2 linked regions of the Cricetulus griseus genome follow. The protein of the gene in region 2 interacts with the protein of the main gene of each other region in a pairwise test. Links are inferred from orthologs where the notes say so. Each region holds a gene or a part of one and is shown on either strand. Other genes may lie near its edges.

What was found. The genes of interacting proteins can lie anywhere in the genome.
Region 1: the proteins of Zbtb43 (region 2) and 26S proteasome non-ATPase regulatory subunit 3 interact in binary tests that used the Homo sapiens proteins (3 or more experiments, as listed by UniProt). The two-hybrid records come from large-scale screens. The link is inferred for Cricetulus griseus from reciprocal best matches to the Homo sapiens genes ZBTB43 and PSMD3.

Annotation. Positions count from the first base shown.
Region 1 is NC_048600.1:111,764,292-111,768,040, reverse strand, and holds the start of 26S proteasome non-ATPase regulatory subunit 3, read right to left. Parts: upstream 2,703-3,749; 5' UTR 2,532-2,702; coding exon 2,321-2,531; intron 1-2,320.
Region 2 is NC_048599.1:145,183,882-145,187,591, forward strand, and holds the start of Zbtb43 (zinc finger and BTB domain-containing protein 43), read right to left. Parts: upstream 2,918-3,710; 5' UTR 2,778-2,917; intron 1-2,777. UniProt on the Homo sapiens protein: May be involved in transcriptional regulation.

The DNA.
Region 1 (3,749 bases), on a different chromosome or scaffold from region 2:
TTCACAAAGAATGTATATAACTGGTTAAGAGAAAGTACTGGAGGCTGGAGAGATGGCTCTTCCAGAGGACCCAGGTTCACTTCCCAGCACCCACATGGCAGCTCACAACTGTCTGTAACTCCAGTTCCAGGGGATCGGACACCTTTACACAGACATATATGCAGGCAAAGCATCAATGCATATAAAAATAAATAAATCTGAGAGAGGGAGAGAGAAAGAGAGAGAGACAGAGACTACTGGCCCTAACTTCAAAACAAAAGTGGACATTGGACATAAGCAAAGGATGCCAAACCGATAAAAGACATAAAGACTATATTTTGGTAATATCTAAATATCTGAAAATAGAAACATTTACAGTAATGAGAAAAAACATTTATAATGTAAATCAGATTTTCAGGACAACATAAAAAGCATTAGAAATGGGGCTGGAGAGATGGTTCAGTGTTAAGAGCACACTGGCTGCTCTTCCAAAGGACCTGGGTTCTATTCCCAGCATCCACATGGCAGCTCACATCCATCCATAACTATAGTTCCAGGGGGTCAGATGTCCTCTTCTAGCCTTTGTGGACAACGCACACATGTGATACTGTTACAAACACACAGATAAAACACTCATACAAACACAAATTTAAATTTAGACATGTTTACCCTTTTTGACTTAGGCATATAAATTCCAAGCTACATTTAAATAGCTACAAAAGTAGATTAAAAAACTTAGGATTAGAGACAATGATTGCAAAACTACTTAAAAGAGCAAGGAACATGAAAAACTTTAAATATGTAGCAATTAAGAGAATGCAATCAACTGGAAGTTTCTTAGTCACATTTCCCACTCAACAAAGCGTGCTTGTGATACTAATTATTACAAATAGTAACATGCATTCTAATGTTCACAATAACTCAACAAACAGTTAATGCTATTAATCCCACTTACACAAACAGGGAAACTGATTCTGGAGTCTATAATCTCAATCACTATACTGAGTAATCAACAAATGCTTCCTGAATAAATTGAACTTTGTGTTCATGGACATGCTAAAAGAAAAAAAAAAAGACAAAAAAAAATCTTTACATACTAATACTTTGATCCTAACTGGGTACTTCAGTGATTTCAGTTATAGAACAGCTTGAAAACACACAGGAAAACATGTTAACTTTGGTTATATTTTTCTCCCTATTACTTTAGAATTCTCACATCTCAAAATTTCTACAGTGAATACAAACCATAATAAAATGTTCACGAACACACACACACACACACACACACACACACACACACACACACACACACGCAATGCTGAGTGACATCTCCGCCCCTGGCTACTTTTATTTCAGGTAAAAAGACCTTTCTGTATACAGATCCTGTTGCCAACTTTTAGAGTAGGAGTTGGTGCAGTCCATACACATACACACATCCTCAAAAGTACCTCGCAGGGCATAACTTGCTCATCTCCATGTTTTGAAGTAGTTAAGCAAAGAGAGAGGGGGAAAAATTCCCGTACTTGGAAACCCGCACAGGATCACAATGAGAAGTCTCACCCCACCCACTTCATACATGGACAGGATGGACCAAATGGGAAAAATAAAACAGCAACTTAAGAGGGACACGAGGATAATAGGAGCCTGAGAACTGGCATGTGGAAGGAAAAAGTTGAGGATGGGGGTGGCTTATAGGAATCGAGGCCACAGGTAAGCACTATAAACAAACAACAACCAAAAGACAAATTCAGGAGTGAAAGTGTATGTGCTTGAACTCTTTAGGAACGGAGGGAGAAAGGACCTCAAGAGGGAGGAACAGAGCGACGGGACGGTTTAGTTACTTCAATTACAGAAGTAAGGAAGCAACGCAGGGTAGAAATGGTTCTCCTAGGGAGTTCGCTGAAGATGGAGCTACAGAACCCTTTAGAAACTCTTTTATCTAAGGGGCCAGTGTGATGTTACCCCGGCCTCTTTAGACACAAATACAAACGCTGATTTCTAAGGATCAATAATATTTCGGAGGCGCTAGGATCGGTTGGATGGGGTGTACAAGGAGTAGATCACTGGGAAGGACTCAAGAAAAGGCTCGGTGGGACCAAGATGCAACCCCAGACGAGAAGAGGGAGGGAGTGTGAGGAGAGCAATCCGCAGCCTGGAGAACAGGTCCAGTCGCCGGCTGGGGTCGAGAGCGGCAGGGCGGGCACTTCCGACCCCCGCCCCATTGACCGAACACACGGAACCGAGGTAGGTGGAGGCTGCGCGGAGGTCCCGGGAAGAAGTCGCATCACCGTGGCCGCTGTCACCCGTGATCGCGGCATGTCCCAGACGCGGGCTCCCGTACCTTCCAAGGTGACAGTGTCCAGCTCTCGCTGGGAGTGCTCGGTGGCGGCTGCCTTGCCGTCTGCCTCCCCCGTTGAGCCGCTCCCCGCTGCTGCCTCCTCTTTCATCTCCACATCCTGGGGGGCCGGCGGCGGCGGCGGTTCTTGTTCCCCTCCCGGCGGCGGCTTTGCCTTGTCGGCGCCTCGGCGCCGCGCCGAGCCCTCCTGCTTCATGGCGCCCGGGGTCGCGGCCTAGTCCGGGGACCGAGGCAGGGGCCTCGCCTACACCCTCACACCAGAGACCAGGCACAGAGACGGGCCTGCACACCAGCGCGGGCTCGCGTCGGGCCGCACGATGACCGAGCAGCTGCAAACTCCTTCCCGGCGCTGGGGCTTCTGGGAAATGCCAGGCCCAGCGAGATGATGGCCGAGTCTAGGGAGGGGAAAGAAATCAATAGCCGAGGTGCACGATGAAGGCGGACCTTCTAGGAAAGGGGAGGAGGGCTTAAGAGTGGTGATTTTATCTTCCTCTCGAGTGCGTATCTCTGGATGTCCGCGAGAGGTCAGCTTAGGCTCCAATCTGGGCTACTACAGACTCCAATGCGTAAGTGGGTAGGGCCTATCCGAGCGCAGATCCAGATGACATCACAAGTTGCCGGGCTTTTTTTTTCTCTTCCCCGCCTGGCAGGCTCGCCCGGTTTGTGCAGGTCAGGCCCTCCGTGAAATCTGTCTGGCTCGCGCTCTCAACGCCCGCCGGGTGCTTCCATCACCGGGAAGAAAAGGAACCTGTGTACTTGTAGCTAGGCTGTTAGGTTGAACTGAGCTCAACCCCTGTGGCATCCGAACTTCCTTGTCAGATTTTGTTTTGTTTTTCGAGACAGGGTTTCTCTGTAACTTTGGAGGCTGTCCTGGAACTCGCTCTGTAGACCAGGCTGGCCTCGAACTCACAGAGATCCTCCTGCCTCTACCTCCCGAGTGCATCACTACGGCCCGGTTCTTGTCAAGTTTTTGTATAGTGCTGAATATGAGGCAATCACCTCTGCAGCCTGGGAGTGTGTTGGGGTAGGGGGTATTTGTGTAGAACTAGTCAAGTTTAATAGTTGTATATGGCTCAGGGCCAGTGCGTACAGGATCATTGCAAAACCCTGCTCACGTCTATTATCCCAGCACTCGGGAGGCAGAGGCAGGAGGAACTCGGTGAGTTCGAAGCCAGCCTGGTCTCCAGAGTGAGTGCCAGGATAGGCTCCAAAGCCACACAGAGAAACCTGTCTCGAAACACAAAGAAACAAAAAGAATGTAATGTAGGGCCAGATGTGTTGGTGAACTCCTTTAATCTCAGCACTAGGTAGACTGGTCTCTGACTTTGAGGCCAGCCAGGACAGCCAGACCTACATAAAAAAAACCGTCTCTAATAATAATAATAATAATAATAATAATAATAATAATAATAAT
Region 2 (3,710 bases):
CAGAGATCTGCCTGCCTCTGCCTCCCAAGAGCTGGGATTAAAGGTGTGTGCCACCACCAGCCTAAAATGATGCTTCTATAGATTCTTTTTTTTTAAAATAATTTATTTAACTTTATTTTATGTGTATTGGTGTGAAGGTGTCAGATCCCCTGAAACTGAAGTAACAGACAGTTGTGAGCTGCCATGTGGGTGCTGGGAATTGAACCCAGGTCCTCTGAAAGAGCAGCCAGTGATCTTAACCACTGAGCCATCTCTCCAGCCCCGTTTCTATAGATTCTTGCCTTCCTGCCTGGTCAACCCCCAGGAATGGCCATCGGGACAGATGCTTATTGATCATCTAACAGTCTTAGTGATAACTGACTGACCACTCATTCATTACCACCAGCAACTACCAACTGTAGAGCCAAAGAGAACCATCTCAATCTCCTTCCCTCTAAAACACATAGGGGCCCTCATTTCGTCACAATCATTCTTCTAGAACATTTATTATCCCAAGGAATAATCTGTCCCAGGGCCCTCCTTGACCTTCAAACCTTTCACAATGGTGTAGAAAGGCGAAGGAGCCACATAAATGGGTTTCTCTCTGGGTTCCCTCCCCCTTGTTACTGCTTTCTCTCCATCTTTTCCACTGAGGAATTTTTCTGATTTTCCAGGCTCAGGTCAGGCTCTACTGCCTTTAAAAAGAAGCTGAGTCTAAGGAGGCTTACTTTCCTCGGTTTACTATTAGTGACATGTGCCACTCTGGAAGGGAGTTCTGCTGGGAAAGAAAACTCAGGCAGCATGTCTAAATCTGTAAGATCTTGAAACCCATTCTGAGGGTTCTGGTGACCTAATTGGTCAGATAAGCAGCCCACACAGGAATCTAATTCTTGGGTGGTGGGAGTAGGAGGATCATCAGTTCAAGGTCATCACACTGGGAGTTTCAGGCTACTCCAGGATTCAGACAGTATATATCTCCCAAGTTTGTTTTGAGATAAGGTTTCTCTGTGTAGCCCTGGCTGTTCTGGAATGCCTGTAGACCAGGCTGGCCTGGGAACTCAGAGATAAAAGGCAACAAAACAAAACAAAGAAAAAATCTAAACAACACAACCCCCCTCCCCCCCAAATAAAACCTTGAAAAATGAATGTAAAGAAGGCAAGATTTATAAAACAGAAAACAGACAAAAAACCAAAGGCATAGTCTGTGAAGAAATAACAAGAGCATTTTCTACTCTAATAAAGGGGAATTTTTCCAGCTTCACAAGTTCTCTGCATGTCAAAGGCAATACATTTCTCAAGTTGCCACTAGGGTAAATTTCTGCATTGATTCCAAAGGGGCAAGGAGGGGAAGACAGGTGGGAAACTGCTGTCATCCGATTTAAAGCCATCAGGGTCCCCTGACTCCTTTTGTAAGCCTTCAACTGAACCTGCTGCTATTAAGAGCTTGCATCAATATAAGGGATTCAACTAAATGTTCCAAACCAAGTTTCTAAAGTGCACTGTGGACGTGCTTATACCAGCTTCGGAAGTCTCCAGAGTTCCTTCTGCTGTGTGTATACAGTATAAACACAGCACAAAACTTACCACTGTAACTACTTAGTGTAATGCTATGTTGACATTACATCATTCACACTGTTGTGCCCAATCCATTTCTAGAATGTTCTTACTGTCTCCTAAACTCTGTGCACATTGAACACAGTATCTGACTCTAGCACCTCATAAATTGTTTTCTGTCCTGTCTATTACTGACACTCGATTCCAAAAGTTTTAAATAGTATTTGTCCCGTGTCTCACTTCTTTCTCACGGTACTTTGGAAACATGCAGGGAACGAATTCCTAAATTCTTCCCTAAGCTGCCCCTAAAAATTCTGCTACAGTGCTAAGGATCTCAAGGGCAGATGTCAACCTGGTCCTTCCTGAGCCTGTAGACATGCTGACCTGGTTAAACAGAGGCAGTGCCTGACAGCCCTGGGGCTCCTGGAAAGAGCAAATAACTGGAGAGCTGTGTAGACCACATGGAAGAGAAGTTCAGGATTCACTAGCTGCCTAAACCGTGAGATGGGCCTTCAGTGTGAGGGCCAGGAGCTCCCAACACTTTGTGAGGTTGGGTGACACCGGTCAGAACCGAGGCCAGACTGCGGTCGGGCCACTGAGAATGTCGCCCAGGCGGGCGAGTTTCACGGGGTCATGAGTCACCTTCCATGGCTCAGAGGTCCAGGCAGGGCCCGCCCTGCCTAAACAAACCCAGTTGGGAGGGAGAGAAACAAGAACACAACATTGGCAGAGGGGGAAAAACACACAAATGGTCAAGAAGCCAGTGTGACATTCGGGCCCCGAACCAGAGCAGAGTCAAGAAACAGAGATTAAAGACAAGGTCCCCAGACTGTGAGCTCCAGGGACACAAGGTGGAGAGAAACTCCAGCTGACCAGAGCCCAGTCTGGGGACAAAAACAAGTGACGACGGGGTGACAAAGAGGCGAAACTCGGAGCGGCGAGGTCCCCCCTCCCGGCTTTGGCTCCCGCGTGGGTGGCTCGACCCTGAGGTCGCGGCGCGGGCGGATCCTCCAGGCGCCCCGGCCCGCCGTGCACCTGCCGCGGGGTGACCTTGGACAGGAAGTCTCCCGGTGGCGCTGGAGGCCTCGGGACTCCGAGCCGGGGCGCCGGGGGCTGCGGAGTCGCTGGCGCCGTCCCGCGTCGCGGCCACCGGGGAGGGCTCTGGATGAGCACCCGCGTCCCGGACGCTCGTGACCCCGACCGTGACCTCTCGCGCGGCCGCCAGCCTCCCCACCCCGCCGTACCTGCCGACGGCTCCGCGCTCGCAGCTTCAGCCTACCGGAGCATCCAGTCGCCCGCACTAAGGCCTTATTCTCCGCCGCCACCACGGGGACAGCTTCCGCCGGAGCCTCCCGCCCCCCCGGAAACGCTTCCCGGTCCCGCCCCCGAAACTGCCAGTGCTTCCGGAGGCGCGTCCGCGACGCTGAGGTGTGCGCATGCTCTAGGAGCCCTTTCTGGGAGGGTCTTCAGGGGGCGGCCGGGGCCTGCGCAATAGGACGTCCCGCTGGTCACGTTTCGGGAGGCAGGCATAAGAGTTAACTGATTTCGAGTTCGAAGCTCTTAGGAACTGCGAGCTAGCTGAGCGGGTAAAGGCGCTTGCCGCCAGGCCTAATGGCCTGGGCTCTATGCTTGGAGCACACACGGTGACAAGTGAGAGCTCACTCCACTCACCCCTACAAAAAATAAAATAAAATAAAAGTTTCAGGTTGGCTTTGAACTCATTATGTAGGTCGAGTTGGCCTCAAATTCACTCCTGCCCACACCTCCTCAGTATTGGGATTGCAAGGCTATGTCCCCATATTCGTGCTGGACTAGACATTCCTGTGTCTTGGGTCCGAATTTAGGGCTTCCCAGCTCTGCATCTATTTCGGCTCTGGGACCTAAGAATATTCAGAAAGAAGGCTGGGACTTTGCGAGAAAATTATACACAGAGATTCTGGGGAGGGCTGGAGAGATGCTCAGCAGTTAAGAGCATGGCTTCTCTTCCTAAGGACCTGGTTTCAGTGTCCAGCGCCCACGCGGTGGCTCTCAGCCTCAGTAACTCCAGTTCCAGGGCATCTTTCGCCCTCTGCTGGCACTGGCACCAGGCAGGCAAACAGTGCACAGACAAGTATGCAGGCAAAACAATAATACAAACAAGACAATTTAAAAAAGAAATTCCGAGAAACAAAACCATA